4 linked regions of the Lonchura striata genome follow. The protein of the gene in region 3 interacts with the protein of the main gene of each other region in a pairwise test. Links are inferred from orthologs where the notes say so. Each region holds a gene or a part of one and is shown on either strand. Other genes may lie near its edges.

Region 1 (8,046 bases), on a different chromosome or scaffold from region 3:
CTGTGTGGCAACAAAGACGTACTGATCACTTACTAGTTCATTTACACAAGACTCAGCACACTCAGTCTGATGAAGAACAACTGTACGTTCACTTACAGGTTAACCTGTTACCCCCCTGCCCCTCCAGTCCCAAACTCCCACATCTCCATCACTGCAGTATCTCAAAAAAGCAATGACTGGAAAGCTTGCAAAGCAGGCAAGAGGCTCAGACTGGAACTGGTTAAGTGCCTTCCAGATTTTTGCTCCTACCTGAATCTGAGATGCATGCAGGTCCATGGTGATTATGTGATCTGCACCTGCCACAGACAGCATGTTTGCAACCAACTTGGCAGAGATTGGAGCTCGACTCTTGTACAGGAAAAAAAAAAAAAAACAAAACAAAACAGTATAAGACAAGTTCAACTCCTTCATCAAGATGCCAGCCTTCTGCTTCCAGGCAGTGATTCACAAGCAGTTACTAAAAGGAGCACTCATTAACATTGCATCTTCTCATCAGCTAGTGATTAGACTTCAGTTTATTTTCAAGAAGAACTATATCTTTATGAAAAGATCATTTTGCAGTCCAATGTCCCCAAGTTTAATGAACTGAACAGAGGTTGGATATTCAGAGAAGGCGACAAAACTTCATTTAAATCCTCTCCAGCAGTCAGGACTTTCAAGGTGTGCATTCCCTGCAAAAACCTTTACCACATCCCTTACCTTGTCCTTTTTGTCCTGCCGGGCATAAGGGAAGCAGGGGATGACAGCTGTGACTCTGCTGGCTGAGGCAATCTTACAGGCATTTATCATGATGAGGAGCTCCATCAGATTGTCATTGATTTCCCCACAGCCACTCTGCACAATGTAGACGTCCTCCCCACGGACACTCTCTCCTATTTCCACACTGGGAACAGATGAGAAGACAGTTGTAGCCAAACACAAATCAAAGCACAGGCAGTACCTGTGCCTGCAGAGCAACCCAGGCACTACATCCCCAAAGGTCTGTGGGTGACAGTGCCAGATAATCGAGGCTGTTGAGCAGGAACACTGCTGTTTATTTGCTCAGTGGCTGTTTTACAGCTCTCACTCATCAGATTTAATGGTCTAGCCAGTAAAGCTAAAAGCACTCTGCATGTACTCTATCTCAACACAAGCTGAGCATGTAAACAGCCCAGAGCAGGCCTTGTTCCCCTGGAATCACAAGCACAGGCACCTCTAAAAGCAGCAGTGTACAAAGCAGCAAGGATCATGGCAAGTCAAACTGCTACCAAAGCAACACTGCAGCTAATTATCAGATTGAGACTCATAGCAGCCATGCAGTGGCTCCAGCAGAGAAGCACTCCAGCCTTTCACTCTGGAAAGGCCTCTGGGGTTAATTTTCTCCTGGGTGCAGTGCACACTAATCCCTGCTGATGAAGGGCCTGAACACAAGCCAAAGGTCCTGTTTGCCAGCAGCAAATGCCAGCTCCAGTGCACGTATGGACACACCTGAGCCAGAAAGAGTGGGAAAGAAGCCACTTCATTTACAGAGCCCCTCAGGGTAGAGTTCTAACTCAAATATTTCCTTCTCTCACCTTTCTGATCTCTTCAAACTTTTTTTGACGACTGTTATATATTTCTATTCTTACTGCTCAATATCCATCAGCAAGTTGCTGCCATCTTTACTGCCCACTGACTTACAGGATGCATCCATCTCTTGTGTAGAGTTTCTGCCAAAGAGAACTCTCTGCTGGGGAACTGTGATTATCAGCAGTTGGCACATAAGTGTCATCTTCAATATTAGGGTGATTTAAGATATTTATGGTACAAAAAACTCTATGAATTATTCTGTTGAAACAGTCTTTCTCTTCTGGGGAACCACCTGCTGCCAGTTTATTAGGGTAAGTAAGATGCTTTTTAAGTCTTCAAGTCGTATTACCTGCTGACATAGGAACCTGCTGGGCAGCCAGCTAGATGGGTAAGAGTAGTTAATAAAGAACAAAGAGAACAGTGCCAGGGCTGTAAATCAAATAGAACTTTTTGTAACTCCTCTACACCTCTCTGTACTACCTCTGAGGTTTCACAAACAATACCCATGGCAAGAGGCACATGATATCGTACGTCACATGTACATCCTGGATTTTTGTGGGAAAAAAAAATTCTGCTTCCAGAAGGAGTGGGTTGGAGCAATCAAGGTTCTTTGCATTACACTTTGTGGTGTATACACGGTTAGTATATTCTCTAAGACAAGCTTAAGGAGCTCTGAACAACTTTAAACCTTTTTAGCTTTACACAGGATGGCAGCAAGATTCTTAAAGCACAGATACATAAAACAAAGCGAATGTTAGGTCTCAAAGCTGGAGGGACACAGACTGCGTGACTGCAAATGCACCGTGGGATACACGGAGGTGTGAGCCACTTTCCTTAAGAATTCTATTGACACCTTCTAAGACTGTGAAGCTCCTCAGAGAAGTTTAAAGTTACCAACTACGTGCTAAGCACAAAGTTACGAAGCCTCGAGTCATCAGAGTTAAGATTTAAGCATGAAAAAGCCTAATCAGTGTAGGTGTAACTCCGAGATGCGCCATCCCATCGGCTCGCGGCGCTGGGATGGAGGGGGAATGGGGAATGGGATGGCGAACTGCACCGCTCCAACGCTCGCCACATGGGCCCGCTCACACAAACCCTGCACGCCCCGGAGCCCCGCGCGGCCCCGGGCGCTGGGGACGGCCCAAGGGCGGCGGGGGCAGCGCGCGTGGGGCCCGCTGGAGGCACGGCCCGGGCCGCGCGTGGCTCCGGGCCGGCACCGAGAGCCGGGTCCGGCCGAGGGGACGCGCGGTGCACCCGCGGGCTCCGGGGCAGCAGGGGTCCGGCGGGAGCGCTCCGGGGATGCCTCCGAGCGCAGCTCCGCGTCTCTGCAGCCGGGCCCGACCGCACGCCCCCGAACTACAGCCCCCATCATCCCCCTCGCGGAGGCCGCGCGGCACCGAGCGCCGCAGCGCCGCGCGGCCCGCCGGGAGCTGTAGTGCGACCGCGCCCCGCCCCGCCTCGCCTCACCATGTCTCCTGGTTGCTGAACTTCTTGGTGACCACCTTGCCCAGCTCCAGGCCCAAACGGTCGGCGATCTTCTGGGACAAGTCCTGGTGCGAGCTACCGCTGAAGATCTTGATGTTGGGCATGGCGGCGGCTGCGGCACCCTTTTTCTCCTCCTCCTCCTCGTCGCTCCGCCACGCAGCGGCCGCGGCTGCCGCGCGGGGACCCGCCCGCCTCCTGCGAGGACGCGGCACGGTGGGCACAGGTCACACCGATCCCCTCTACGCCGCCATCTTACCCTTTCCCGCCTACTGCGACGACCCTTTATAGCCTCTCCGCCCCTAGGACACGCCCCCACTCGCTTCTCATTGGCTGATATACCTCAGGGGCGTGGTTCCGCCAACGGGCGAAGCAGGAGTGGGCGTGGCTTGGTGCGTCTCCTTCCCCTTGAGGACGAAGGGAGGCGAGCTCAGCCTCCCGCCGGGGGCGGGACCTAGGGCAGGAGGCGGCCCGCGATTGGTCGCTGTGCGGCGGCCTGGGCTGCGATTGGCCAGGGCGGCGGCGGCGGCAGGAGCGCGCGGCCGGCCCTGTCCCGCGCGGCCGCGGCCGGAGCAGCCGGCCCGGCGGCCATGATGGCGGCCGCGCGCCGGGGCGGGAGCGGCGGCGGCCCCGCTGCGGCCCGGCCGCGCCGCGCCCGCGCCCCCGCCCCGCTCCGCCCCTCTCCCGCCGCCGCCGGGCCCCGCCGCGCCGCCGCGCCGTTACCTCAGCATGCCGGCCTGCCCGCGCCCGCCGCCGCCGTCCCCCGCCGTCCCCCTCGGCTGCGCGGAGCTGGCGTCACCGCGGGCCGCGTGTGAGGCGGTACCGGCTGACAGCGGGCGGCGGCGGGCCCGCGCGGCAGCGCCGAGCCCCGCGCCCGCCCTGCCCTTCAGCGGCTCTTGCGATTCGGGTCGCGGCTGCGGCCGCGGGGGCTGCTCTAACAGGCCGATTCATTCCCGAGCGGTTTTCACCTTTATGATCGGGATTGTGTACCCCATTCTGTGCCAAATTACATACTGATACACATATAGATACATGCATGTGTGTGTATCTATCTTATATATAATTACCTATGTAACTAACTATGGGCTAACACTAAATCAGTCTTCTGTGACTTAGCCGTTTGTATGTGACTGCATTATGCTTATTTATTTCTCCTTAGCGAAATGAAACATTGTGCTTAAGGGTTTTTAATCTTTAAACCTGGAAATAATGTAATCATAGAATATCCTGGGTTGTGAGGGAATCACAAACTCCTGACTCATGGCCCTGCACAGGACACCCCCAAGAATTCCGCTAATGTGATTTTTATAGTGGTTCTAAATTTCTAAATTTCTGATCCAGTCTCTGGTTGTTAATGTCCTTTTTCTAAGCCTTAATTATCTCAAATTACCTTTCACTGCTTTGAAGGAAATGACACTCACAGTTTAGTTTTTATATATTATAAATCCCCTCAAAATAAAAAAGCCCTGTGGTTCGTCACAGAAAGTGCAGGAATTGATAATTACTCACATTTCTGTGTTTCTATCAGACATACAACAACAAGCAAGTCCAGGGCAATGATGACACCAAGCCAGTGACTCTGCGCTCCCTGCCCGTGCTTGTTATTTTTCCCAGAAAGTGAAGGAGGAAGATTGACACATTTATGTAAATATTAAGGAAAAAGAAAAAAAAGCCACAGACAGCTTTTTCAGAATTTTCATTCAATTTTGTAATTCCTAATCATATTACCTGAATTTCTGAGAGACAATAAACTTCTGCAGTGAATTTGATTTGCTTCAAGTCCTTGAGAATTCAACTAGAAGAAATCATTCACAGTCAAAAGGGGGTGTGGGTCTGGACATGTTTTCTTTATTTTCTTAAAACTCTCCTGGCCCCAAGTGCTGCTGCCACTATCCCCCCCAAAGACCCATAAATTACTGACTACAATACCATGCTTGGAGGAGGTTTTCTATAACACTTTGTACAGTGTCATTAAATTTGGAATTCATCTGCATAAAGTAGATAATCAATTCCCATGCTTGGCATTGATGGAAGTGGAATATTAATATTGGTAATTTTGATTATTTTCTGGTGTAGCTGTAGGAATTTTGAGATGCTGTGACAGACAACAAATCCAGGGAATGGGGAAGGAAGAACATAGCCCTTTGCTTCTAATTTGTTGCTAATCATTACTCATCTTAACAAACAAAATTAATCTTAGCAGTGAAGAAAATTTCACTGGAGAGTGGCTACCTCATGGTTCAAGTGATGGGAATTGAAGATACCTCCCAAATTTCCAGCAGACACATTTTTGCCCCAGACCCACAGCACTGCAGCCATTCACTGCTGACTCCAGGCCTTTGATCTGGGGCACGCCTTGGTTTTGAAGTATTTGCTCCACTCTCGTTTTAAATTCCATTTAATTGAATACAGAATGAGAGTTTTCTGTGCTCCAACATCCCAGGAACAGAAAACAGAAACATCTACGTTTATTTGTGGACCAGGCACTGGGACTCTGAGGCCGAAGGCAGCAGGGGGTATATTTAAACACCCAAATTATGCCTCTCACTGATGAGCCCTGCCTGGGCTTCCCTCTGCAGGACTTTAGAAGAAGCTTTCCTGTCATGTTCCTCCTGGCATCACAGAGATGGAATTTGGAGGAGTGAAAAATCTGACCCAAAAAAAAGGGAATTAAATCCTTAATCCTAAACCCAGGAACTAGCAACCTGTTATGTGTAAAATACTTTTTTTCCCTTTCTGAGCTGGCGGCCAGGTGTGTTTTCACACCCACCTGCTTCCCTCAGTATTTCAGCCTCCACCGTGCCTTTGTAGATTAGTCAGGCTTTGTTCCTGAGGACAAAAGTCCACCTCCACTAACAGCTCACTGAGCTCTTGGAACAGGATAACCTCAGAGATTTGCTTAAGGAGAAGCTCTTAAGGCACCAAAGTCTAAGTTAAACAAAGCAAAAACTCGCTCAGGAGGTTCCTCAGCCACAGCTTGTCTACGAGCAGTGTGCTTTGCCATGCAGGGACAAGGAGAAGCAGCTTTGAAGAGTGAGAGGTTTATCTGGTTCTTGGGATGAAAGGAGAGATTGTGTGGTTGCATCCATTGAAAACCAAATTCGCACTGGCTTGGGAGTCAGGATTTCTGTCAGGATATTCAAAGGATGCTCAGGGAAATGATCAGAGATCATGAAAGTGTTTTGGAGTGTCTCATCTCTTGTGTGGATGCTCTTATTCAGAATTAAAGCACCTCGTTGCAGCTGGTAAGCCTCATTCTGAAAGCAAAATACAACAAATTGAATTATTTCCTTTCAATCAAAAGGATTTTATTTGGTTTTCCTGTGCTTTACAGTACGGACAAGCACAAGCTGGCCTGGGCAAGCAGAAAGGACAAGCTTATGGCCTGAGGTGCTCTGTTCCATCAAGTTCTGTAAATTGCGAATTAAATTACCGTCCAACTATTTTACTTACCTGATTATAAGGAGGTGCAATTAATCAGAAATACCTCTGTGTGTCATAAGCTGAGAATGAATTTCCCAGGAAGTTTCAAGCAGCACATTAACAGCATCAAATTTGATGGCAATGCCAATCAAGACAAGAGCCTTTGTCCCCCTCCTGGCACTTTCCTGCATACAATTGCCACTCAATTACCACCAGCAGTTAATCAAGAGCACATTTTCATACAAAAAAGTCTGTGGCTGAGGGTTGTTATTTCTTTTTGTTGCCTTGTGACTTCAGTGCCTCACAGCCGGTTCTGTTAATGAGTGGCACTTGATGGAAATAACACCGGCCTCTGCCCTTTTGCCTCGGCGGCTGAAAGTAGGAGCTGGACCTCAAAAAAAAGTAAAGTAGAGAAGGAGTGGGAGGATGGATAGAAAAGTAGAGGCTGAGATTAAAAAAATACCAAAAAGGTTGGAAGGCTGAAAAGTAGAGGTTAAAAAGCTGATGCCAAAAAGGGGTGGTAGACTGACATGAGAGCAGAAGGAGAGGAGAGGCTGGTGGAGAAAGTTTAGGAATGGTGCTCACCCTTAGCACTGTAAATATTCCCAGAGTTACACAGGACATTGCTGGACCACACCCAGCAAGGAAAAGCTCACCTTTTATCGGGAAAAAGCTAAAATTCTGGGAAATAAATGGTATTGTCAAGTCTTCACTGGAACCAATACAGACTTGGAGATCGTTTTTAAAGGATCCTGACTAGTTCCCTTTGTGTTCCTGATCTTTCCACTCAGCGTTTTTATTGTGCCTTCCTAAGGAGCCCAGGTAAAATATGAGGAATGAGCCATCTTGCCTTAGGAAGAGGTGTAGATTTAGGATTTTAGGAAGAGGTTAGATTTAGGAGTATTTCCAAGATGCTTTTCGAAAGTGGGATTTAGTAAAGCATTTAAAATGTCCTGACCTCGAGCATGTCCCCAGCCCTTTCATCTTCTCACCAGCTCTTGGCACTGGCAGCAAACCTTAGAGGGGCAGCACTGGAATTTCTGCCACTTTGGGCATGGTGTGTTTGCCTTTTAATAACTTTAATATTCCAGCTGCAGAAACCCTGCTCCATCCGTTCTGTGTGTGGGGGACAGGTGACAGCCAGGGGCACTGTCTCAGCTGGCCTGGGAGGCTTTGCAGCAGCTGCAGTGGGATGAGGTGTCTGCTCATGCCCTGACATGGAATTACATAACATGACAGAAAAACCTCTGGAAAAATTTCCTATCAAGTGTGCAGACTGTTTTGGTGTATATTAGGCATGTTTGGGTGCTGTAAATAGGCTGAGATGACTGTGCTCCCTGGCAGACTTCTCCCATGTGCACAGAAAGCCATAGGTGTCCTGCCCAGCCCCACTGTGACTGCCCACGTGAGGAATTTGTTAGGATATTTCACACAGGAATCCAGACACTGTGCTTTAAATGAGGATAAAATTTGGACATTGCTCACTTCCATTTGACTGTCAGCTCTCCTGGGCACGATGAAAGCAGCAGTGGGTCCCAGCTATTGAGCTTACTCTGCTGTTGTATCTGGGGCTCCTGCAAGTCCTGTGTAGTG
Region 2 (7,737 bases), on a different chromosome or scaffold from region 3:
ATCCCCTTGCACAGCTTGGGGGAGGCTGGTGAGAATACCAAGATGGTCCCTGTCCAAAGATGTCATTTTGTGCATAAAATCATTCTAGTATGTGGAATGAGGTAAAACCAGTACCATCTGAGAGCATCTTAGCTGTGCATCTGCCACTGTTGGTGCTGCAGGCCAGGAAGGCCCAGCTGCCAGGTATTGCTGAGCTGGATGGCAGGTGCAGACTGGAGAGGCAGAAGCATAGGCTTTTTGGGGGTTGTCCTGGGTTTAGCTGAGCCTTTGCAAGGGCTCACCACTGCAAACCCCTGGATGACCCTGGTAGCAGCAGTCACATCCTGCAGAGGGCCCTTGTCCCTATGTCCCCGAAGACCTGGCAGAATGGGCAGCCAGCTGGAACACAGTGCTGGTGACAATCCTGGGTTGTCTGGCCAGTTACAGTGACACCAGGGAAGAGATGAGGGGTCAATGCCCAACAAGAACCTCAGGGGGATGAGCTGTAGCAGTGCTTCAGGCCTTATCCCCCAGCCTTTCTCTCTCAGTGCAGAGCAGCCTGGCACAAAAGGACACGTTTTTCACCAGAGGCCAAACCAATGTTTTATTCCTTGTCATTTCCACACACTCAGGAGGCTGTGCCTGGTCTGAGGTCACACTGGGCCACTCCCACTTCCCCTCTGATTGAGCCTGGACACCTTGTCAAGGCATATCCCAGGCCCAGGAGCTGACCCCAGTGCAGGAGCCTCATATGCTGTTGCTTCCAGTTCTGCTGGCTGCTAAAAGCAGGGTTGATCAATAAGTGAAAAGCCTGAGCTGTCAGATGGTTATGCTTTTAGATTGTTACGCTTTGCCTTGCAAGCCAAGGGTGTCTCAATGTACCAAGAAATAGGTGGGCTCTGCTGAGCACCTGTGATGGGACAGGAGCTGGTTTCTGATGCCATGCCTAGAGCTCACAGGAGTCACTGGGAGCTTTCCCATTCAGGCCAGTGGGCTGGGCAGCAAGTTTCCAAAACCAGCCCCTCTGCATCATCTCTTCCTTCAACCCTTGAATTTCCTTTTTTTCCTTTGCACACAAGCTTGGATCACAGCATCCCTCTGCTTCTAGCCCATGCAAATTCCTGACTTAAAACAGCAGGGAAGGAGCTTGAGGCAAGGCACTCTCTCACTGCATCCAGCCCAATGGGCACTAGCCAATAAATAGCCTTTCCTGAGCCACACAAGTGGGTTTTGTTCACAAAGCCACAACACTTTTAATAAGCTGCTTAAGTCTAGTGCAAGCTGAACTCTAAGGTGTCTGTAATCACAGCCAGTCCTTCTCCCGGAGGAGCAATGCTGCCTTGCCTCTCTCCAGCATGAGCAGAAGGGGCTCACCTGCTTCCCACCAGTTCACTCATGCTCAAAGAACTCATGGCAAGCAGCAGTGACCATTGCAATAAAGGCCACGAACTCCTGGAAGTCGCACTCTGCATCCCCATCGCAGTCCAGTGCCTCCATGACTTTGTCCACAGTCTCCTGGTCTTTGATTTCCTGAAGGGATAGAAACAGGCAGCCAAAGCTGAGGAGGACCACAGCGAGGCCCAGACAGTAATGTGTGCCCATTTCCCAAGTGCTCTCATGGCTGAATCTCTGTTCAGACACATCCCAGATATTTTGTGGATGTTCCCAGTCTATGTGGGGCGTTGTCCTGTGCCCCAGGGAATTGCAGCTACAGCTGTTGTGCTGGGAAGTGACATCTTGAACCCCTTGGGGCAAGGCTGTCCCCCGTGTCAGGGAAGGTAGTTTTCCTAGTCCAGCCCACACCTCAGTCTGTCATATAGGCTGTTCCCCTCATCTTGCTGCTCTGTAGAGCTGGGACAAAGGATTCAATGCCCTGCTGTGTAAATAAATGTCTTTGCCTGTGCAGGCTTCCCGTGGGAGACAGAGTTAGGGGAGTGCAGGGGCTGTTGGATGGCCCCTGAGCCCAGCCAGGCTGTGGGGAGGGCAGTACTTACCCCGAGGAAATGGGTCAGCTCGTTGTTGATGAGCTCCTTCAGCTCCGATTTCTTCAGCTTGTGCTTGTCTCCCTCCTTCCCGGAGTACTGGTGGAAGGCATCGATGATGGCGATCATCGCCTTCTCCAGCTCGGACATGGTCGTGGCGTGGCCCTGCGGTCAGAGGGGACGCTGGGAGCGCCAGCCTGGGCAAGCTCCAGCAATTCCGATGGATTTGGAAGCACGGCCACCCTGGGGCTCCGCCCGTGGATCAGCAAGGTCAGACCCTCGTTCAAGGGAGAGCTGGGAAGCTCTGGCAGCAGCCCTGGCTTCGGGGGGAAGGTCACAAGAGACCATAACTCTGCTGCTAGGGGCTCTCGAAAACAGCAGAGCCACAAGACAGGAGAGGAGAAGGCATGGGGTCTGCTCTGGGGCTTCAGAATGGTTTTGCTGTCCCTGCTGTCACAGGTCCCCTCGCCTTGCCTCTGCCTGCAGACCTGTCTCCAGCCCAGCAGTCAGGGGAACCCGGTAGGAACCAGTTTTGATGACTGCCAGCAGGTCAAAATGAGCACGTCACTCTCCCATATTTGATCTGAAGACCCTCTTGGGATATGATAGCAATTCAGATTGCAGCGTTCCCTGCAGATTTCACAAACGGGCAAACCAAAGAGACACTGATCAAAGAGGGAGAGCTGCCAACCCACCTTCCCAAAAGCCGGGAAAATAAAGAAGCCCTATTGCCTGGCACTCATTTCGTTCATATCCCATCGGTAAATATCTCCTGCCCTGCGACCTGGCTACTGTTTCTCCACCACACGCTTCTGAGTCTGATCCCACAGCCGATGTCCTCCCCCACTTAGCAGTTACCAGACACGGCAGCAAATACCCGAACAAAAATCCCCTTTTCATGCTCCAGCCCTGCCTGCTTGCCGTCCGCAAGGTTGAGCAGCGCTCCAGATCGGAGGTACGTGGAGCGGTGGTTCTGCCCTGCCGACACCCACCCGGCGTCCCGCGGCCCCTCTCACCTCCCCGCGGCCGGCGGGGCTGCGGCACGGCGATGCGGCGTGGCCGGGCGCCGCGGGGACCCGCCGCTTCTTATGGCCGCGGGGCAGGGGCGGGGCGCTGCGCCCGCCCCGCGGAGCCGCCCGCCCCGCGGAGCCGCCCGCCCGCCCCGCGGAGCCGCCCGCCTGCTGCAAAGCCGCCCGCTTTGTTTTCTGAAGGGGTAAGGGGCATAGTTGCAATCAGCCAATTTTTCTAAGTGACACGTATATAGGGATATATCCGGTTTCAAAATGTATTGCAGTAAGCTTTTTTTTGTTTAAAGAAGCACTTGGAGATTATCCCTAGACCCAGTTGTTACACATTACAAATAAATCTATTATGGTGCCATTTATTTGTTCATATTTTTCAAATATAGAATGCCTACTCTCTGTTCATTAGATCGGTCTTTCAATGCACAGAATGTGAATCAAGCTTGCGATTCAAAGATGTGAATGCTCTGTTCTGCTCTGAACAGTGAGTATGCAAAAATAGCAATTCTTTGTACATCTATGTTTACTACAGGTCATTGGGAGCACACTATTAATATTGAACACCCTTTTTCTGCTTTCTACTGTTTTAAGATTGTAGAGTCAGGCCAGACAGGGAAAATAAGGTTATTTCAATTCGCTCTGCTTCACCAAACATACCACCAATAAAATGCTTTGTCAAACTGAAAGCCTTGCTTCTTGTGCAAAGCCATTTATACCATGGGAGTGAAAGCATACATTTTGCAGTCAGTGTGAGCATAAAACTTATACTTTTTTGTGTGTATTGTTCAATAAATATTGAAATATTAAAGAAATAGCCACCTAACACCAGAGACAGGTGAAACTGCAAATGTTTTGAACCAATTCTGTGAAGGGATGTGTAAATCAACATGCAGAACTCAGAAAAATATGAGTTATTGTTTGTATACTGATTCACACTAGGAAAAAAAAATGTCTTTTTAGAAACTTTAAAAAGTTATCTCAAACCTAAATTCTTTATTTACTTTTAAATGGGATCTTGATATAAAACTTGTTCAGAAGTCCCCTGCCAGCCCCAGCAGCCACCATGAACTGGCATTAAATGCACTTTTATATAAACCCTGTTGCTGGACAGACATATTCCCTGGCAGTTTTCCCAAATCTACTGATCTATGACACTGACTTTGTTACTTGAAAAAAAAAAACCAACAATCAAAAAAACCCCAAAACAACAACAACAACAACCCCCCCAAAAAAAATCTCCCAAAAACATCTACATTGATAATTTCCTTACATCAGTTCATAAAAGTTTTTCTAACAGGCTCAAATTGATTTGGGGAAAAATAATTTCTCCAGCATTAAGGTTGAATTTGTTGACTAAATATTTACATGACCACTGAAATTCTTGCATTTAGGGTATTGCAAACGACAACAGTTATCTGTGCTCTGGTGGGGCTAGCAGGGACAGCAGGGATGCTTTTAGGTAGTGGTGTTTCTAGTGTGGAGGTATTTTGTCAGCAATTTTTGCACTATTTGATTTTTTCCAGGAGTACTTGCATTCCTGTAAGAGCTGGCTATAAATGGGGCTCTCTGTCAGCAGGAAAGAGACAGCATTTTTCTGTTGATAGAAATTTGATCCGGTAGATCTCTAGCTCAGTCCTCAGCCAAGAAATGCATTAAAGCAAACCTTTTCTAGTCAGAGACAAGGTCCTAGATCATCTCCTTAAACCATATTCTGATGTCATTCTGTAAAGTGACCTTTCCTTAAAATGGAACAGAAAAAGTAGCATTTGACAGATCAAAACTTGAACAATCTTAAAATTCTCTTTCCTGGTGATTCTTGCTGCCATTTCTCCCCAAATCATTCCGACTTCTATATTTTACAGGTGATGATCTGGAATTATGTCCTGATAGGGTGGGAAGGAGCAGCAGGATCAGATGTGAACACCAGAAACCTTGACCCTCTTCTACTTCTGCTAATGAGCAGCTCCAAGAGACTTTCCTGATTTTTATCTGGCCTAATATCCTTTGTAAAGGCTGTTTTCCTGGCCTGGATCATCCCTAACCCAGCCTGGGACAGTCCAGGAGGTCTGGATATGAGTATGGGGCTGTGAGTGGTGCTTTCACTGCTGCCCAAAGAGTAGCTTCTGTTATTCTAAAATTCATGTTCTGATCTTCGAATAGGCAGGTGCAACCTTGGGGCTTCTTTCCTCAGGGTCAGAGCTTCCTCGCCAGAGTTTTGGGCTGATGTGTTTAAAGAAGCAAGAGGGTTTTTCAGTGCCCAAAGCTGAGCAAAACACTTCAGCCCTCTGCCTGTCTCCTCACAATGTGGGCTCCTCATACCAGGAGAAAAGACAGCCTATTTCTTTGTCTCTCGGGTGTGTGTGGCGCCAGGCTCTGCCAGACCATGAGACAAATGCCAGTGGTCATTGAACTGGGACAAAAAAAGTAATGAAAGCAGAGGAATTTGGGTGGGAGGGTGAAGAAATTGCCTGTGCCTCTGCAGGGCTGCACTCACAGTGCCAGCACACACAGCAGCTTTGCAGGGAGCAGGTTCCCTGGCACCTACAAACACAGCAGCCAGAGGTGAGCTACCTCCTGGCAGAATCCAGATGAGGTTCAGACACAGAAAAACGTGGATGAAAACAAGGTCTAAATAACAGGAATTTGGCAATTATTAAAAATTTTTGGTGCAGGTGGGTTGTATAGAGACAGAAAAGTAAAACTAAGTTGTTCATCCTCCATCACTCCCCTTAGGCAAATATTACCATAAATTATCTTAAGATTTTGGCATCCATGGACAAGTGGATACTTTCATTAAACTCGTTTCGGGCAGAGTCATTATGACAGGTTTTTTTTTTTTTAAACCAAAAATAAACAGACTATTAAGCCTCAAATAGAACAACCATGTCAGTGAACTTCTAGTTCTCTCTGTTCATATAAACTGCTAGAGAAGCAGCACAGCTCTCCCTGCTGAGGACCAGTGGGATGATACACAAGTCAAATGTATTATCCCCATTCATTCTCCCTCCAGGAAAAGTCCAGCACTATCCAAAAAACATTTTGCTCTTACTGAACACAGCCAGGGCTGAACTGAGTGACCTAATCCTAGTTTATGAAATAAATACAATATTAATTATTTAATTATCAAATAAAATCATTGCATCCTTTGCAGATAATCCCTGATGTTATTTTGGATGTGAGTGAAGACCTGTTTGCTAGAAGAGGAGTATTTTGAATTAAGCTCATAGTGTGCATTATATACTGTAAGTATTAATGATATGTAAGTATTAATAGACAGGCATTTTTCTGTCCTGGGGTGTTGATGGGTGCAACATTTGTGAGTAGCTCTTTTGTCTCTGGGCAGTGCACAGACATGGAACGGCTTTTCTTCCAGTTTAGCGTGGGCACACGCGGGTCAGGGTGCGCTGTGCCAGGGCTGGCACTGCACCCCGACACATCTCCCCAGTCCCTCGTGGCCCACATGAGCTGGGCACCAGGCTGGGCCGGAGTTGTTTTGTTACTTCCATTAACGACGGAAACCGCACGCCTGGACTTTGGGGGTGCACGGAGGGGGATACAGTCGCTCTAGGGGCTGGCGCTGTCACCCAAAGGGACAGCTCGGCTGTCGGCGTCTGTGGAAGGGATGGCACTCCTGTGCCAGGGGCAGATGTGCGACGGAGGGGCGCAGCCCCAGCAGCTTGCCGGGGCTGTCCCGTGACGGGAGGGCCGGGAGGAGACGGGGCGGGCCGGGCGGAGATGGGGCGGGCGGGAGGAGATGGGGCGGGCCGGGAGGAGACGGGGCGGGCCGGGCCGGGAGGAGACGGGGCGGGCCGGGCGCCGCCATTGGCTGCCGCCCGTGAGGCGATGTGGGACCAGCCGGCGGCGGGGTCGGGGCGGCGATGGCGGCGGACGGCGTGTGAGTGCCGGCGGCGCGATGGAGAGCGGGGGCGGTGTGTGGGTCCCGGCGGTGGCGGCCGCGGCTCACGGTGCCCGTGTCCGGCAGGGCGGTTCGGCGGCGCGGCGGCCCTTGGCGCTCGGCGGCGGCCACGGAGCTGCCGGACTGGCGGCTGCGCTGCGAGGGCGGGCGGCAGCTCTGGCGCTACCTGGGCGATGGCGAAGGCGATGCCGGGGAGCGGCGAGCGCAGACGGCGCTGGAGCAGCACAGCCTCGGGCTGGACACGGTGCGGGGGGCCCGGGCCGGGGCGGCGGGGCCGTGCCCGGGGCGCAGCGCTGAGCTGCCCCTGTCTCCCCACAGGGCGCGACGCTGCAGCCGCTGCCGGCGGCCGGCTCGGCCCGGGAGGCGGCCCGCAACGGGATGCGGTTCTACGCAGCGCTGCAGGCCGAGGATGGGCACTGGGCGGGCGACTACGGCGGGCCGCTGTTCCTGCTGCCAGGTAGACCTGGACACCCCTCCCAGGAGTGGGTGCCCTGGGGTTCGGCTCTCTACAGTGCCGGCCTCTCTGGTCCTCCAGGTCTCCTCATCACCTGCCACACGGCCAAAATCCAGCTGCCCGAGGGGTTCCGGAAGGAGATGGTACGCTACCTGCGCTCTGTGCAGCTCCCGGACGGAGGCTGGGGCTTGTGAGTACCAAAGATGCTTCTTTGAGTGATGGTAGCTCCAAGGTGTAGAACTTGGAGCTGCTGTCAGGTCTGCCCAGGCTCAGGGAGGGGGACTCGCTACCTGTGATAGCTGTGGGTGGTTGGACTTGCTTGCGCAGCACTCCACGTACACTGTTTGTCACAGAGGCGTCCATAGCATCAAGTCTGGCTACATC
Region 3 (8,356 bases):
GCTTTATCTCCTAAAAAATTCCCAATACAGTTTATTTTTTCTTCACTGCCAGTTGCATCAATTTGAAGGACTAGAAATGTCAGGAGTTGGCCAAAATTTCAAGATTAATTTTAAGCAAAAAATAGAAATGCAAGGAACATTTTACATAAACTACTGAAACCCCCAGTGTGTGGAAATTACCTTGCTTCCATCTCCAGAACCATCCTTGCTTGCACCATCCTTTGAAGCAAAATATGCTGGTGTTTCTGAAAAGTTTCTAAGAGGAATTCGTTTTAGAGAACAAGTTTCAAAAGTCCCAAGTTTTCCTAAAACAGGGATGCGTGTACGACCACAAGTAATACCTAAAAAAAAAAAAAAAAAAAAAAAAAAAGAAAAAAATGTAAATACTAAAATACTCCTGTTTTAATGCCATTGCCACCAAATCTCAGAACTGATTTACTTTAAGTGCAGCTTAAAGATTTTGGCAACAGAATTCAGCTCTGAACATACAGATTTTAATTATCCAAAATAGATGATCTTTACCACCTTAATGTTTACCTTGTTGAAAGTTACTTTGGTTGTCCAAAAAAGACCCCAAAATAATTTCAGGTCCTCTAACATCAGACAACTGAGAGTCCTGTTGTGGCATGAAATAGGGAACATCTCAGTTATGAAACTGATCCTCAGAATGATAACCACAATCGACTTACAGCTTCTATTGTGAAATAATTCAACTCCCCGAGAGAAACTTTTGAAGAGTCTCTTTATTATGCAAAGATTAGGTGTTTCAGACTCAATGACTGCACGTCTGGATTTGGCTTTCACTTGGGAACTCCATTAAAAATTAGTTTCCAGGAATTTGAGGCACCTCTTGGCACCAAGAATTGTGCTGAGGAAAACTGAGCAGCCGTGTCCCATTTGGCACTCACCGACGGCCGGCACCGGCAAGCTCAGCGTAATCTTAACTTTGCTAAAATATTTTATTGCCAATATGAAAAAAACCCTCACTGAGAAACTAAACAGCCTTTTCCTCCTCTTGCAACACGGGCAGGATTGCATTTCATGGCAGGGCATGACGTGAGCCAACCTATGTTGTGCTTGTGATTTCAACATCAACAACAGCCTGGAATCTGTATCTCATCTCTCGCATTTCAAGTGGCAAATTTCTCACTTGGCTCGCTGGTTTTGATCAGGACTCTGTGCTCTACTGACAGCAGAGCTATAGAGCAACAATGGCAACTACAGACTTGCTGACAACACATAGTTATAAGGATAAGAGAATCCTATGGAAAAATCCAGAAACTCTTCAAAAATAAAAAAGAAAAATTAGGAATGGCAAGAGAAGCACAGCTCATTTGCTCTGAAAGAAGAAGCAACAACCAAGAGATGGGAGCTTAGCTGAAAGAGGATACTCTGAAAATTCACCTTGTTACTATAATAAGAAGGGAGAAAAATAAAGAAGAAGGAACTTAATTTACCAGGAAAACTCTTACAGGCCTCTTCAAAGTCACAATAAAGATGACAGTCAAATGAGATTTGAAGCTGGTTTATTAACTTACATGCTGCTTAAGATTCCTTAACCTGAAGATGACTTGTACTATTTTTAACATGACTAAAAATTAACCTTTTAAAAATCTCTTTACAGCATTGCTTCTGTCTGTAAACGTGAGGGAGGAATAACAATCAATGAGCTTCCCCATTTTAAATTCCTCTGCTGAGTGCCATTGCAACACATTTTAGATTACAGAGGGTAAGCTATAAAAACAACACAGAAAACTTGAAAACACTGGCTGGCTCTCAGAAGCAGTTGTATTTTTTAACTGAATGTGCAGAGAACTCTGACAACTCTGTGTGCCAAGTGCACTTGTCAGTAAAGAACAAGCTTTGGTGAGTGTTTACAATGCAATAGTTGTTCTGAGCAGCTTAGAAACTGAGAAAAGACCCCTTAAAAATGAAACAATGACCACCTCTCCTCCCTGGAACAAAACCTAGAGTCACACAAGTAACACGGGGGGATTTGACCTGTGGAGAAAGGCTGAAGCACTAACACAAAAGCTGAAACATTTCAGTCCTCATTTTAATTCAGAATGCTCTTGTGAGACAGAAAATGCACTGAGAACTGTATGGGATGAACTATGAAACCTTACACAGCACTGACTACTGAGCTGTGAAGCCTAAACCAGGGGAAAAACATCCTAATACTGCTACGTCAGCTGGTGGCTAAGCGTGTGCTTATTGTGAGGTCTGAGAGGTGTTTTTGGACAAAATATCATGGTATAATTCCACAGTGAAGCAATAAGAAAGTTATCACCACTACTTCCTTGAGTCAATAAGCCCAGAGGGAGATTTCCAAGGGAAATCAACATTCCAGCTCAATGCCTGGCAGCTGCTGCTGATGGATCCAGACTCTGATAAATGTTCCAGTATGTAACAGCTGGCAGGATGTGCTTACACACCTGGCAGGGTGGCTCAGGTGATGTTTTTTTTTCGGAGCACCAACTTCAAAAGATTTGTCCCTGGCAGCCATGGAACCAATCCAGGCGCATTAAGAAATGATGGGAAGCTCCTTAACACCTTATTAACCTTTAATTGATGCTTGACAGAATAAATACTGACTTTTGGGGCAAGCCTGGGGGATCCTGGAGGTATCTACTGCTCAGGAAAGTGACAGGGAAATTGTGACAAACTGTAACTGTCCCACATAACACTCGATTGATTTCACTGATCTGTGCACTCTGAACTCTCTCAAGTTTGCAGCAACCAGCAACAGCAAACAAAGCACCTGGCAGAAGACAAGATTTAATACAAATTTAATATGAAAGACACACTAAAGTAAGATACATTTATTTTTAAACAACTTTCATTGAAAGCTGGTGGTTAAATAATTGTATAGCTCTATCTACATTTTATTCTTATTTGCTCTTTTACATAATCCTTTTGAATCTTAGTTCTGACCAAAAAACCCCTCAAACTTAACAAAAGATAATTCTGTAATGAATTTCAAACAGTGCTTGCTTTGAAGCTGATTGTTTCAGAGGGATTGCGTAGGGCCAGACAGGCTGGATTTGAAAGTACAGGTTAGAACATTTCAGCACGGCTGGTATTCGAGATATAAATGTAAAGTCACCTACAAAGAGTTAACTCGCCTCTTAAGGGCAGTAAACGATCTCTGACTCACCAGGCTATTGCTGAGGGTAGAGTGATTGAAAATATTGTTGCAAAAGTGGCAACAAAGATGTTTTTCAGCACTATTTGGGGGTGCCCTGCTTTCCACCCAAAGCAGCACATTGTTTGTCTGCTCTCAGCACCCCCAAGAATACAAAAAAAAGGGTAAACAAGGAAAAACAGTAAAAAAATAACCTCCCACAGCCCTCAACTTCCAGCGAGCAGCTGGCACAGTCTTGTCCTTCTACCAAGTTGAAAATAATTAATTTTGCTAACTAAACGCATTTTTATGAGAAATATTTCAAGTTTAGGCTACCACACAGGTAGGCTTTTAATTAAGTAAGGCAATTAAGCCATTTTTAAGCCCATGAAACACATTTACTCCCACTGCAGAGTAACACACACTGGCCGACAGCTGCCGAGCATCACTTCTGTAGAAATAAACCCTATTTTCGCATCCCACTTCCCCACAGCGAGGGCGAATTCTCCGATACTTCACAGCGCGTAAGGCTGCCCTCACCCCCACCCGCACCGCACCAGCAACCGGCAAAAAGGAGGGAAAAAGGGGGGAAAGGCCGCCGTGCCCGGCGCTGTCACAGCGCGATAAGGGCAGCGGCGGGGCCGGGCTCCCTCAGGGCCGAGCGCGCCGGGCCCGCTGAGGGAAGGCGGCGGCCGGAGCGCGGTTACCTCTGCGGGCGGAGGGCAGCGTGGAGCCGAACAGGCGGGCGGCGGCGGCGCAGCTGTGGCAGGCGGACATGGTGCAGCGGCCGCGGGCCCGGCCGGCTCCCCCCGCCGCCGACAAGGCCTCGCTGGCGACGGTGCGGCCCCGCCCGCCCCGGTAACGCCTCCGTGACGGCACCGCGCGTCACCGAGGGACTGCAGATCCCAGCGGGCATCGCGCCGCGGCGCGCCCCGCGGGAACGCACTCGCCTCGCGGGGTGGCATGGGAAGTGTAGTCCCAACAGTGAATGGGTGCGTGGGCGCCGCGTGGCATTGCGGGAAATGTAGTCTGCGATCGGCAGCGCCCCCCCCGGCTCTCTCGGTCTGTCCTGGGCACACCGTCCAGGTATGTTTATTCCCGGTGGTTCCGCCCTTTAATTCCTCTTTCCAAATACGATACGAGAGGAATATTTCCCTTAGATCACAGAAATGTGTTTTTTTTAAAGCCTTTCGTGAAAAGATCAGGCTGAGACAGGAGCAAAAAAACTTCAGGCAAACTGAAGCGATTTTGAGAGCGAATGGAAAATGATGCCGTGTGTTGTGGGGCGGTCTTCAATCAGGGAAGAGTATTGTAAAAATACATATTATCTAATTAAGTGTATTCTTTAGGCACGCCTTTGATATATATATAGATATATATAGGTATATATAAGGCATATACACACACCTTATATATACCTATAACTGCAGACAACTGTAGGTCTGTTTCTTTCAGCTCACCTTCAACTCCTATTTATTAGATAGCAATTAAACGGGGCTACTTGACTCCAGCTGTTCATTAGAGGAATGACTCGGTATCACCTGTCGCTCTTCTCAATTAACCTGAGCTGCCCCGCAGCGAACAGATTGCCGGGGAAGCTGCGGCCCATCCCTGGAAGTGTTCAAGAACAGGTTAGACGGGGCTCGGAGCAACGTGATCTGGTAGTCCCTGATCGTGGGCGGGGGGTTGGAACAAAACGACTCTTAAAAACTCCCTTCCAAGGCGAATCATTCCCTGAGTTAACGCGGCTTCCGCCTCGGTAGCGATGGCGGCGGAGCCGCTTCCGCCCCGCCCCGGTCACGTGGGCGGCACGGCGCAGCACCCGGAAGCGGCGGCCGGCGGGAGCTCCCGGCGGGGCGGGACAGCGGCGGCGGCCGCTGGCAGCTCCCGGTGCCGCTGGCAGCTCCCGGTGCCGCTGCTGCTCCCGGTGCCGCTCCTCGTCCCCGGGCCCGGCCAGCCGGTGAGCGCCCCGCAGCCATGGGAGAGGCGGGGGTCCCCGGGCCTGCCGCCGAGCTTAGCGCCCCGCACCGAGCAGGGAGCTCTGAGGGGCCGCGTGGGCGCTGAGGCGAGCGGGGCGGCCCCTGAGGGAGGGAGGGAGGGATGGGCGAGGGTCGGGACGCGGCCCCGCAGGGAGCCCGAAGCCCCCGGGGCCCCGTTTGCTGGGGGGTCTCTCAGGGGAAGGGGCTGCCTCAGCCTGTGCTGAGGGTGTGGGGGTTTGTCCCCTTCTCCCTGCAAAGCTGGGGAGCCAAACGTGGTTGAGGAGGGGGAAGGAGCAGGGGCAGGGTTGGTGGGAGCAGCGCTGGGGCAGAGGGGAAGGTGCTGCCGCCGCATCAGTTAGCCATAAATCTTCTTATGGTCTTGTAAAATCAATAATGAATGGAGTATGTCATTAGTGTAGTGAAATTACTCACAGAGAGACTATTACCAAATGCTCTGAGCACGTCCATAGGTGATTCTTCCAGAGGAATTGTTTTTAAAAGCTTGAAGTTCTTCAGGTTGTTTGGTTTTACGAAAAATGAAACTTGTGTGTTTAGAGGCTGATCATGACCAACATCAGGCTCTTTGTGGTCTGAGTTACCTTCAGTAGCTGAATTCCTGTTTTGAGTTCATGGTTCAGCTTCTCTGTGGCTGGAAATCACATGTAGCTGTTGTTAATGTCAGTTATTTGTGTGTACAAATTTAATGCTGCATTTCTGTGCAAAGGAGAAAAAAAAAACCATTTCAGTAAGAGAACAAACAAGTTTCTTCTTGTGTGGAAAGAAAGGCAGCCCTTAGGAGTGGTGATCTCAGATGCTCCTTCAGAAGAAAGCTGGTGGCAATCAGCCCTGGTGTTAGTGGCCAGTGGCTCACTTCCATGAGTGGTAACAAGTGAACAGGGAAGTTCAAAATTTGCGTTTTGGATGGACTCTAAACTCGCTGTGGTACCAGACAAGGTACAGGGCCAGCACAAAATCCACCTGCACGCTGCCTTTTCCTTATCAGCTGTAATGGCACAGCTCTGTGCTCCCTGCCCCCAGCCATTCGCTCAAGGGTGCTGCAAGACTGAGGTGGCACAAGCAGCGAGGTGATCCCGGCAGGAAGAGGCTGCCAACCCTCTGCAGCAGGAAGAGTCTCCCTCTCCAGCGTGCGGGGCCCTGACCAGGACTTCTGCTTCTTGGTCCAGGGCAAGAGAATGTGTGTTTTAAGGCATTTCCTGCAATTTGTCTGCCATAATTTTGTCACACTGTCGTTTGCTGAAGAGCTTTTAGGAGGCCATTGATGTGTGGTTACAGAAAGGAATTAGTGTGAGCCGTGGTTTCCTCGCTCCAATGGCTGCAGGCCCCCAGCCCAGGAAAGCATCCTTGCACCTGCTCTGCTTTGCAGGTTATTGGAATAAATTCATTTTACCCTTGCTGCAATTTTACCTGCTGCCAGACTTTGATAGTGAGCAGAACAGTTGGTGCAAGCAGCAAAGTGAAACCACACAAATTTGAAATAACAGCCACAGCTGAACAACCCATCTCAAACCTTTGTACATGGGAGGTGTAGCACGTGCTCTGTGGAAGGTGTGTGTTTGTCCTGTAGTTTAGAAAGTATTTTCCCTTTTAAAATTAATATTTTCTTCACTTGGAAGATGGCAAATGTAGACTGAAAGATGAGGAAATTGTAACTCACTGATAATCCAGCTGTAACCCCATAAACTGGTTAAGCTGTTCACCAGCAGCTCTCCTGCAGGGACAAATGAATTGGAGTGACTCACAGAACACAACGAGGTCTTATTTTATGAAGAATTAAGAAACAAAACCTATTGATTTAGACTTGGCAACTGTTAAATAACAAGCGCAAAAGTTTCTTTTTGTCTTTTCACGGTGCTGTGTGTGAATTCATGAAAATAATCTCCCAAGGCAGCTGGCTTTCAGGGTGAAGCTATTGAGTCTGCAAACTTCAGAAGTGTTTGATGACATTTGTTGTATAAATGGAAGCTAATGGTTTCTTGCTGCTTAAAAAAAAAACCCAAACAATTAAATCTTGGAGCTACGTCAGTGTTTATTACTAATTAATGGAGTATTATAAGATACTCATTATGTATGCTTGGACATTCTGGCTGGGGAATGAATTAGTAGCATTCCTATGTGGACCCAACTCAGAATCAATTTGTGCTGTATTAATTGGTGTGCTTCAAGTATTTCTTCATTGGTAACTCCTGACAAGAGCCTGCTTCCATGTGGATAGAATTAAAATTTCAAGGATTTTCTGTAAATTAAGCCTCGGATCAGGTGATGTTCCTGATGTGCTCTGGGACTCGTTTGGATCAGTTATACTCAGATGGAAAAACGAGACCTGAATACTGAGTGGGTTCATGAAATAATGTCTGTGGTGTGAATTCCTGAGTGAATTGTATGAATATTTATTAGCTATAAACTTGGAGTGCCTTATCAATTTAAAAGAAACCAAGAACATGCTTTAGGTTTTTTAGCCACTTACAGCCTGAAACACAATTGACTTTCTCTGCAGCTGTCACACGGGAATGCTTCTACAGAAACATCATCATTTCATAATTAGGTTGGTGCAGTAAGGCAGTCAGGTGACTGCCTCCTGGGAGAATAATTGCATGGTTTGAGCAAAAGTGAACTTGGTGTGAGTCAGAGGTAGTGCCATCAACTGATAAGAGCAAATCAGCCTGCACTGCTTTATTTACATAGCACAGCTTTTGAGAGTGGCCCACGGTGAAACTGTGCTATTGATTTCTCATTCTCTCTCTTTTCAGGCTGACCCAAACTGAGATTTTTCTAAACATCATGGGAGAGATTAAAGTCTCTCCTGACTATAACTGGTTCAGAAGCACAGTTCCTCTTAAAAAGGTATGTACATCTTGTAGGTGAAATATCCTCTCATGTTTTAGGGGGAGAGACTCAATGTGATTAATGCAGAGCAGTTGTGGCTGTGCTGCTGAGCTGCTTTATCTCCTGAACTGTTGTCCCACATGTCATGTGAGTGCATGAAAGCACACCCTTCATCTTCACATGCTTCTTGGAGGTCACTTCTGCCTGTGCTGGGGAGCAGAGGCTCCCAGCTGTGAGCTGTGGCAGCAGTACCTGCCATCCCAGTGCCAGCCCTGCCTGAGGAGGGGGCTCCAAGGGAGTGCTGCGTGCTGGGCATCACATCTGTGGCCTCTCAGAGCTGCCTGGGAGCACTGGACTGAGCTGCCAGAGCCACCTCCACTGTTCCTGCCCATTGTCCTCAGGCCAAAGC
Region 4 (7,793 bases), on a different chromosome or scaffold from region 3:
TTTTCCTTCTGCCAGGTTTGTGGCTTAAAGCACTGGAAGAACACTTGCTGGCCCAAGTTAAGCAACTGGAGCTGACAGACAGGAACAGAGGGTAAGAACTACGGGGCAGGGTCAGGGTGGGGAAAAGAACAAGTAACAAGGTGTTTCATTAGCTCACTGGTTCTTAGGGAACTGTACCTGTATACCCCTAGAGTCCTCGGATACAATATGTACAATACCAAGCTAAATCTGACTTCTGCACAGAGGTGCCTATAAGATGCAAGCTACCTCATTCGTTTTTCAAACTAAATAAACCATGGGGCAAAAAGAAACCAGTCCCCAACTGCCTGTCTCAAATTCTTTCAGCCCTTCCACCTACATTGGCATTTTTCATATTTCCTTCTGGTATTTCTCCAGTCTATCAACATCCTGAGGGAACTGAACAAACACAGGTGCAGCACTGAGAAAAGCAGGGTGACCGTTTTTTGGAAACTCTACCATGAATAAACATTTCAGTCACGTCATTCATCATGACAAGAGATGCAGAGTATCTTGAAAGACATATCTGAAGACAGTTTAAAGAAATGTTATCAAATGCCGGATTTGCCACATGTTGTAACAATGGCAAGCAAACAGATCTTTCAGATCAAGTGTCTAGAAATAAATTACCTTATCGATGATACTGTCAATTTTTCCTTCTTCTACAGACTTCTTTATTGTCTGTGCTGTTTCAGCAACAGACTCAGATATCTTTTTTGTAGCAGCAGAGGCAAAATTGAAGAGGTAACCTTTCACAGACAAAAAAGAAAACAAAGACCTGAGAATAGATTTCTTTACATCCAGTTCTCTTTCTACATTTATTTTACCTTCTCTTTAGACGTTTGGATACCTACTTAAAAGTTTCTTTCAAAATAACTTAACCCAGCTTGTGGCCTACAAAAAACTCCTAAAATTCTATTTATCTTTTTCTAGTTTGCATTATTTAATGATGATGATTACAACTTTCTGCAAACCAAATATTTATACACAAACCTTGTTTACTAAATCAAAAATTGCTAATGGTCCTTGAAATACTTCTTTCCAATGACTTTTCTGAAGCAATGTCTTTCCCTATTTCATATAAGTGTTTTGGAGACATTAAGCCATAAAGTAACTTAGCTACAGTATTAAAACAGATTTTTTTTTTTTAAGAAAATCAACATGCAGAATAAAGTCTTATAAACTGAGGCAGCAAATACATTAAAAATTTCAGGCAGGTAACACCTCCTTTAAAAGTCTTCACATAGAAGCATGCCCTTGATGTTGCCCTTATCTATTTTGCATTATCTTCCTCTCTTTAGGAAAAGAAAAGCACTGTGGTCCTGTTCACTCATTTTTCTGAGCCATATTTTCTGAAAACAGTTTCAGAACGGCAATGAAGAATATTCTCAAAGATTCACATTCTTTTTGTTAACAGTGCTGAAGAGAGGTGGCAGGGAAAGAACTGCATACACATAGCATGGCCATCTGCACCATATTATTCTATTTTAAATAAGGAGAACAAATGTGCAAGAAGCATCTTGCAAGAAGCAAGATGTATGTAATAAACCTTCAGAAACATCAAGTACCAGCTTACAGACAAGATTTGAAAACATTGGTACTATTTCTCAGATAGCATGATGTCAGAAGCACTTAATATACCTGAATGACTGCATTTCACTGCAGTACCTCAGTTCCAGTACATACACTGTGTCAGTGCCATGGTAAATAAAATACTTGCAGAGAGATCTAGATAGATTGGAACATCTGGGCAAACATCAATGGCATGAAATTTAACAAGAAGAAATGCTGGATTCTGCATGTGGGATGAGTGTAAATTGAGGGAGGAGTGTCTGGAGAGCAGCCCTGCAGAAAGGGACCTTGGAGTACTGCTTGGTAGTCAGCTCAATAGAAGTCACATATTTATACATAGAGTTATGCAGAATCACCTTTGCCTTTTATACAGGAGTTGTCAAAAAAATCAACCAACACAAAAAAAACCCACCAAATCCCAGCACTTCAGTTTCAAACAAATGACCACCCTCCTTCTCAAGGACTCTCAAAAAATACTATTTCCCTATGGGTTAGAAATGTAAAAAATAATCTTATAATGAAAAAAAAAATAAAAATTAACACATGGTTGTTAGCCCGTGGTAGAACGAGTTAGTTTGGAACACTGATGTCACTTCTTGGAAAGCTGACTATTCTCTGGGTTGGATAAAATGTTCTCTTGTAATGATATCACAAATCAATACCAAAATATGCAGAGGTCTAGCCAAGCCCTAAGACAATTTTTTATGTGTAACTTTTTTTATCTGTAACAAGTCACAGAATGGTGGTAACCAAACATCCTTCAAGTACTTACTAGCATCTTTTATACCCATTATCAAGCTTTATAACCCACCACATGATTCAGGAGTAAAAAAAGGTTAAGTTCTATATTTTAGACATAGACAAATACATTATTCCTCTTATGAGAGCAAACAGCAACCTACTGGACTGCTTACTCCCCACCAGCTTTTATTGGTTGTTTCATGTATCCCTGGAACCTCTCCTGTATGCAACAGTTCTAGGTGCAAAATGTGCAGAGACATTTGCTGTCTGGTGACATTCTGGCATTATTGCATAAAGTGGTTTTGGCCAGTCCTGAAACTGCTGAAGAGCAAAAAGCTTTTTATTTATAAAACTGCAGAAAAGGTGGTACTTAGCCTTAGAAAAACAGAATTTGTGGTGGAAAATAACACTTTCAAATGACCAAAAAACTCATCTTCCATCTCACAAGTGTATGCTTATATTAAGAATATGTATCTAGCAATACTTCTATTATTCACACTGGCAAAATGCTCATAATTTCTGTAATGGCATGATAATGAGCAAAAATCATGTCTATAAGGCTTCTGCTTTACCACTAAAATTCTTTATCTGCCAGGAGATTCTTTTTACACAGCTACCCAGATTGTTGTCCATGCAGAGGTTTCTAGGATTATGTGTTAAAACAGCAAGAAAGCCTTTCCACCGTAATCTATTCTGGTGTCACAGACAATGGACCCATTGAACACTAAATCAAATTTTCATTTACAGAGCAAATTATGGAATGGATCTTTATATAGATAACAGTCAATACCTATTTTTCCTCTGAAACTCAAATTCCTTTTTCCTTCCTGAACAGTTTGCAGATTAGAATAATCAGAGTCAGCAGCAGGTTAGTATCAATTTACCACAACTAGACAGGTATTTGAGCACACTACACAGACTAAACTGCTGCAATTCTGGTTGCTCAAGACAATGCACAGTACAGAATCAGCTCAAATCATACTGATCCAGAATTTCAGAGCATCAATTAAAAAAAAAACCAAAACCCAAACCCCTTCCTTAAAACAAAACTTTAGTAATTAGAGTATAGGTCTATACTATGGATTAATTATATCCAAGAACTCACTACAGCAATGCAGGAATTCTACTTATAGCAAATTACAGCTTCACCCATCCCTGGCAGCGTTCAGGGCCAGGCTGGATGGAGCTTTAAGCCTGGCCCAGCAGGCACAGCAGGGGGGTTGGAATGATATTATCTTCAAGGTCCTTTCTAACCCAAACCATTCTGTGATTCCAAGACATGTTCAACAAAACCATCAAGCACCATTATTTTCCTATGAAAAGAACACAAACGCCTACAGTGCAATGGAAGTACATTATTCTACGTAGACAGATCTGTACACACAGACCTCCTCCCACAGTGCCAACAGAACAGATACTTAAGAAACGCTGCTCCTTTAGAAACAGCTCTGAAAGAAGCGACAACGAAAGGCCCTTCGCAGCCTTGATTCCTTAGCTCATATCTGAAAGCCGGCGGCCCCGGCACACTCACTGCCGAATCCCTTGGCCTGGCTGAGCAGCGCCTCCGAGTCCCCCTGCAGCTCGCCCCGCTCCTGCCCGGCCGGCGCTGCCTCCTCCTCCTCCTCCTCCTCGCCGCGGTCCTGCTGCTGCTCCGCGGGGCCGCTGCCGCGGCCGGCGGGCAGCAGCGCCTCCTCGCCGGCGCGCTGCAGCCCCAGCCAGCTGCCCAGGCCGCGCAACATGGCTGCGGGGCGGCGGCCGCGCTGCGCCGGCCCGGCGCCGCTGCGGAACCGCGGGCGGCCGCTGCCGCCGCTTCCGCGAGCGCCACTTCCGCCGCCAGGGGCGGAGCGGGGCCCGGGCGGAGCGGGGCCCGGGCGGAGCGGGCCGGCGGCACCTGCCGCGCCGCGGCTGGCCCGGAGGGGTGGCCCGGAGGGGTGGTGCCGGCCGCTGTGCGCCCTGCTCGCCCGCCCCGCTCGGAGGCGCGGTGCCTGCGGGCGCTGTGTCCCCCCGGCCCGCCGGCGGTGCGCTCGGGCTCGGCGCTCCTGCTCTGCGCTGCCGGGCTGCGGTGGGAGCAGCCGCCTTTAGCAGCTCCGTAAGTCTGAGGCCTCTCCCCGCTCGGCCGCAGCGCCCCGAGCGCTCCCGCGGCGCGGCACGTTTGGGGTGCGGCGCCCGCAAATCCCTGCTGGAGGCGGCAGCTCCTGTAGATAAGGCTGGACGGAGTAATTCGTGTGCCACTTGTCCGCAAAAAGATTTCTTCCAGTATTCGCTTTCAGCGCTCCCTCCCCTAACTCTATTTCCTTCATCTTTTACAAGTGACTTGCAGTTGTACTTGCAGAGACCCTGCAGTTCTCTGTACCTATTTCAAGTAAACACGTTTCCTGAAGCTGCTGGGATAACGCCGTTTTTGCTCAAATCACAGCAAACTTTTCATTTTGGTTTCTGTAAGCAAGATTTAAGAATTATAAAGTGGCATGTACGCAAGATTTATCCTGTTGTTGAAATTATCCCCTTTGTTTTCCTTAAAAAAGCTTTGAAAATGACAGATGTTTTATGATGTTAGTGTTGACAGCTAAATTGGCTGAGTTCTGAAGGAATAGCCTGAAACAGAGGTAGGATAGCCTGTAACAGAGGGTCCAAGTCTTAAAATCTGTGCTGTTAAAAGAATTACATATTAAATGGCAGGGAAAAATTAATCCCTGGTGTTCCTTTTTCTTCTGAGTTAAATGCATTTAATGGTTATGGTCGTCTTTTGGATCATATCGACAAGCAAATAGTTTATTAATTCCTATTACCAGAAATGTAAGAGCATTGATAACATGCCTTGTTCCATTTCTGAACTCAGTCTCCTGAAGATCTAATAAAAAAACATTATTTATGTTACTTTAATAAAAAGAAGAATTTAAATGTTCATTGGGTATCTACTGCTTCATACCAGCAGCTGAATTGCTTTGATTTATACTGAGGACCGTTAGAACTAAGTGCTGTTGCTTGTTGTTTTGGATGAATTGGATATTTAAATAAGGAAGGGTTTTCTTGGCCCTAGAGTTCTTGCTTTAGGTAAGCCATGCTGTCACTATTCAGTGATTAGCCTCCACAGCCACCTGAATGGAATTGAATTCATTTACAGATGAGATACGTGTCATCCTGCTTCAGATGGGTGGAAAAATGCAGCTTGTATCTGATCAACACCGGTGCCTTTGTTTGCTAAAGTGTATAAATAGTAAAAAGTTTTTGAAATCCTTTTATGGATTTGCTACTCAGCACCCCTTTCAGTCTAGAACGGCAAATTAATACCTCAGCTCTGTGTGTTGATCAGCCTCATCAGGACCTAGGATAGGGACAAGACTGGTTATCTTATATAGTGGTGTATAACTTGGGAGAGATGAGTCCTGCTCCCAGATTCCAGAATGGTAATTTTTATTGTATGTTGCTGAAGGTCATTTCCATTTAGATCTTTACAGATTGAGTGTGTGATCTTCCCAGACATGAATTTACATTCATCAGATGTACATCTTTGTTGTTTTAGATTTCCAGCTCAAGGTCTGTGCATGTGTGCTGATTTTCCAATGAAGTACATCCTGGTAACTGGTGGTGTCATTTCGGGCATTGGCAAAGGGATCATTGCAAGCAGCATTGGCACCATTCTGAAGTCCTGTGGTCTACGTGTCACTGCAATCAAAATTGATCCTTACATAAACATAGATGCTGGAACCTTTTCACCATATGAACATGGTATGAAGATAAGTGTTATTCTCTTACACGTAAACATTTGTATTTATAAGAATGTGATTTTTTTTTAACCAATAGTATGGTGTTTACAACCTGTTTTATCATTATTTTGAAAGTTTATTGCTTACTCTGTGTTCTCAAGGACACTGTCTGCTCTAAGTTAAGAAACAGAAGCCTGTTTTTTTGAAGATACTGTTATGAGCAGATGCTTCCTTTCTATAAAATACCACTTTACTAGGAAAATCCTAGCTGCATGACTTGTTCAGTTAATGCTGTCTTCAGTTCAACTTGATTAAAACCCCTTTATAAATAGTGCTATGAAACTTACTTGTAATTTTAAGTCCTTAAGAGTTACTTGAGAATGCTGTTCTGTGGGTATCAGTGCCTTCTGATATAAGTGCTTTCATTAGAGTTGCCTTAATTTCTCGTTTTAGTAAAAAAATCTAGCCAAAAACATTAGTGAAGCTTAGAGAACCTAAATTTATTGAATTGGAGTGCTGTGCTTTGATGGGATATACATTTCTGTTGTCCACATTTTATTTTCTGCATTAGTAATGTAACTTGTTTTGCCATTGATTTATTGGGTCATGACAAAACATATACAGTTTTTCTGAAGAGCTTTCCAGGCTTACCTCAAGATCTGGTAACTTGAGTTCTGTCAGAAGTTGACTAGATTCAGAATTTAGAGACACTTTAGAGGGCTGAGAAAAGGGTATTAAATACCTGAAGGGTATTTAAGTGGATTTTTCAGGGTCAGAAATAACCCTTTCTGTGGACATGGTGAACCAAATATACTGAAACAACTGACTCCGAAATGGTGATTACGTTTGAAGAAGCAGTTTTGTTCATCATAACTTTACTTCTGATCAAAGCCTCAATCATTAAACTAGATCCAATCAACAAGAATTTATATGAAATACTTTGAATATGTATAATAATTCCTGCTTATGAAAGCATGGTTTTTCTCTCCTGCAAGTAAATTAATATTTTATTTGTTGCTGATTTACGATTCCTAGAGGTTGTTTTCTTTCAGTGAAGGATTATTCTGCTGTTGAAATGCTATTTAAATATTTATGTTACTTCAATATTTTGGCAATGTAACTTACATTTTATTTGCAAAACTATATGTATCTGAGAGATGGATATTAGATGTAAAACTGACTTAGATATTAAGTCATACAGAATGACTATTCAAATTGGGTTGCAGTATGGACTTTACTGTTGTGTCGTTGTCATATATAATTTAATTTTCTTTCTTCTGTTTTAAGATGTCTGTGGTATTCCTGCTGTATGCTTAATAATTTCTGATTATTTTGTTGTTTTTCTGTCTGTTTTGCTTTCTTTTTTCAGGTGAAGTTTTTGTATTAAATGACGGTGGAGAAGTTGACTTAGATTTGGGAAATTATGAGAGATTTTTGGACATCAGTCTCTATAAAGATAACAATATCACCACTGGAAAGATATATCAGCATGTCATTAATAAAGAAAGACATGGTGATTATCTGGGAAAAACCGTTCAAGGTAATATTTTTAATTTTGTGGGATACTAGTCCATTCAGCCTTCACAAAAGAAGGGATCAGCTAGAACAGGCTGCTTCTTGCTCCATCACCTTACTCCTTTCTCCCTTCCAAAAGGTAGGGACATATTCCTGGGCTCAAGGATAGGAGAACTACAGAAAGGTCTTAGTAGTTTCTTCTTGGCTTTCTGTTCACTTTACCCCTTTTGCATTCAAAAA

Evidence for each region.
Region 1: the proteins of SPG21 (region 3) and PRPS1 interact in binary tests that used the Homo sapiens proteins (3 or more experiments, as listed by UniProt). The two-hybrid records come from large-scale screens. The link is inferred for Lonchura striata from reciprocal best matches to the Homo sapiens genes SPG21 and PRPS1.
Region 2: the proteins of SPG21 (region 3) and S100B interact in binary tests that used the Homo sapiens proteins (3 or more experiments, as listed by UniProt). The two-hybrid records come from large-scale screens. The link is inferred for Lonchura striata from reciprocal best matches to the Homo sapiens genes SPG21 and S100B.
Region 4: the proteins of SPG21 (region 3) and CTPS2 interact in binary tests that used the Homo sapiens proteins (3 or more experiments, as listed by UniProt). The two-hybrid records come from large-scale screens. The link is inferred for Lonchura striata from reciprocal best matches to the Homo sapiens genes SPG21 and CTPS2.

What each region holds. Positions count from the first base shown.
Region 1 is NC_134616.1:18,596,930-18,604,975, reverse strand, and holds the start of PRPS1 (ribose-phosphate pyrophosphokinase 1), read right to left. Parts: upstream 3,260-8,046; 5' UTR 3,138-3,259; coding exon 3,016-3,137; intron 884-3,015; coding exon 700-883; intron 349-699; coding exon 250-348; intron 1-249. UniProt on the Homo sapiens protein: Catalyzes the synthesis of phosphoribosylpyrophosphate (PRPP) that is essential for nucleotide synthesis.
Region 2 is NC_134610.1:33,263,841-33,271,577, forward strand, and holds S100B (protein S100-B), read right to left. Parts: upstream 3,054-7,737; 5' UTR 2,978-3,053; intron 2,127-2,977; 5' UTR 2,112-2,126; coding exon 1,974-2,111; intron 1,510-1,973; coding exon 1,369-1,509; 3' UTR 570-1,368; downstream 1-569. Other genes in the region: LSS (lanosterol synthase), read left to right, coding at 7,278-7,356, 7,435-7,543. UniProt on the Homo sapiens protein: Small zinc- and- and calcium-binding protein that is highly expressed in astrocytes and constitutes one of the most abundant soluble proteins in brain.
Region 3 is NC_134613.1:21,911,980-21,920,335, reverse strand, and holds the start of SPG21 (maspardin), read left to right. Parts: upstream 1-4,992; 5' UTR 4,993-5,084; intron 5,085-7,871; 5' UTR 7,872-7,902; coding exon 7,903-7,965; intron 7,966-8,356. Other genes in the region: CLPX (ATP-dependent clpX-like chaperone, mitochondrial), read right to left, coding at 181-341, 3,832-3,901. UniProt on the Homo sapiens protein: May play a role as a negative regulatory factor in CD4-dependent T-cell activation.
Region 4 is NC_134604.1:100,639,344-100,647,136, reverse strand, and holds the start of CTPS2 (CTP synthase 2), read left to right. Parts: upstream 1-4,276; 5' UTR 4,277-4,420; intron 4,421-4,517; exon of another isoform or gene 4,518-4,769; intron 4,770-5,854; 5' UTR 5,855-5,876; coding exon 5,877-6,060; intron 6,061-7,407; coding exon 7,408-7,578; intron 7,579-7,793. Other genes in the region: SYAP1 (synapse-associated protein 1), read right to left, coding at 649-767, 3,863-4,070. UniProt on the Homo sapiens protein: Catalyzes the ATP-dependent amination of UTP to CTP with either L-glutamine or ammonia as the source of nitrogen. Constitutes the rate-limiting enzyme in the synthesis of cytosine nucleotides.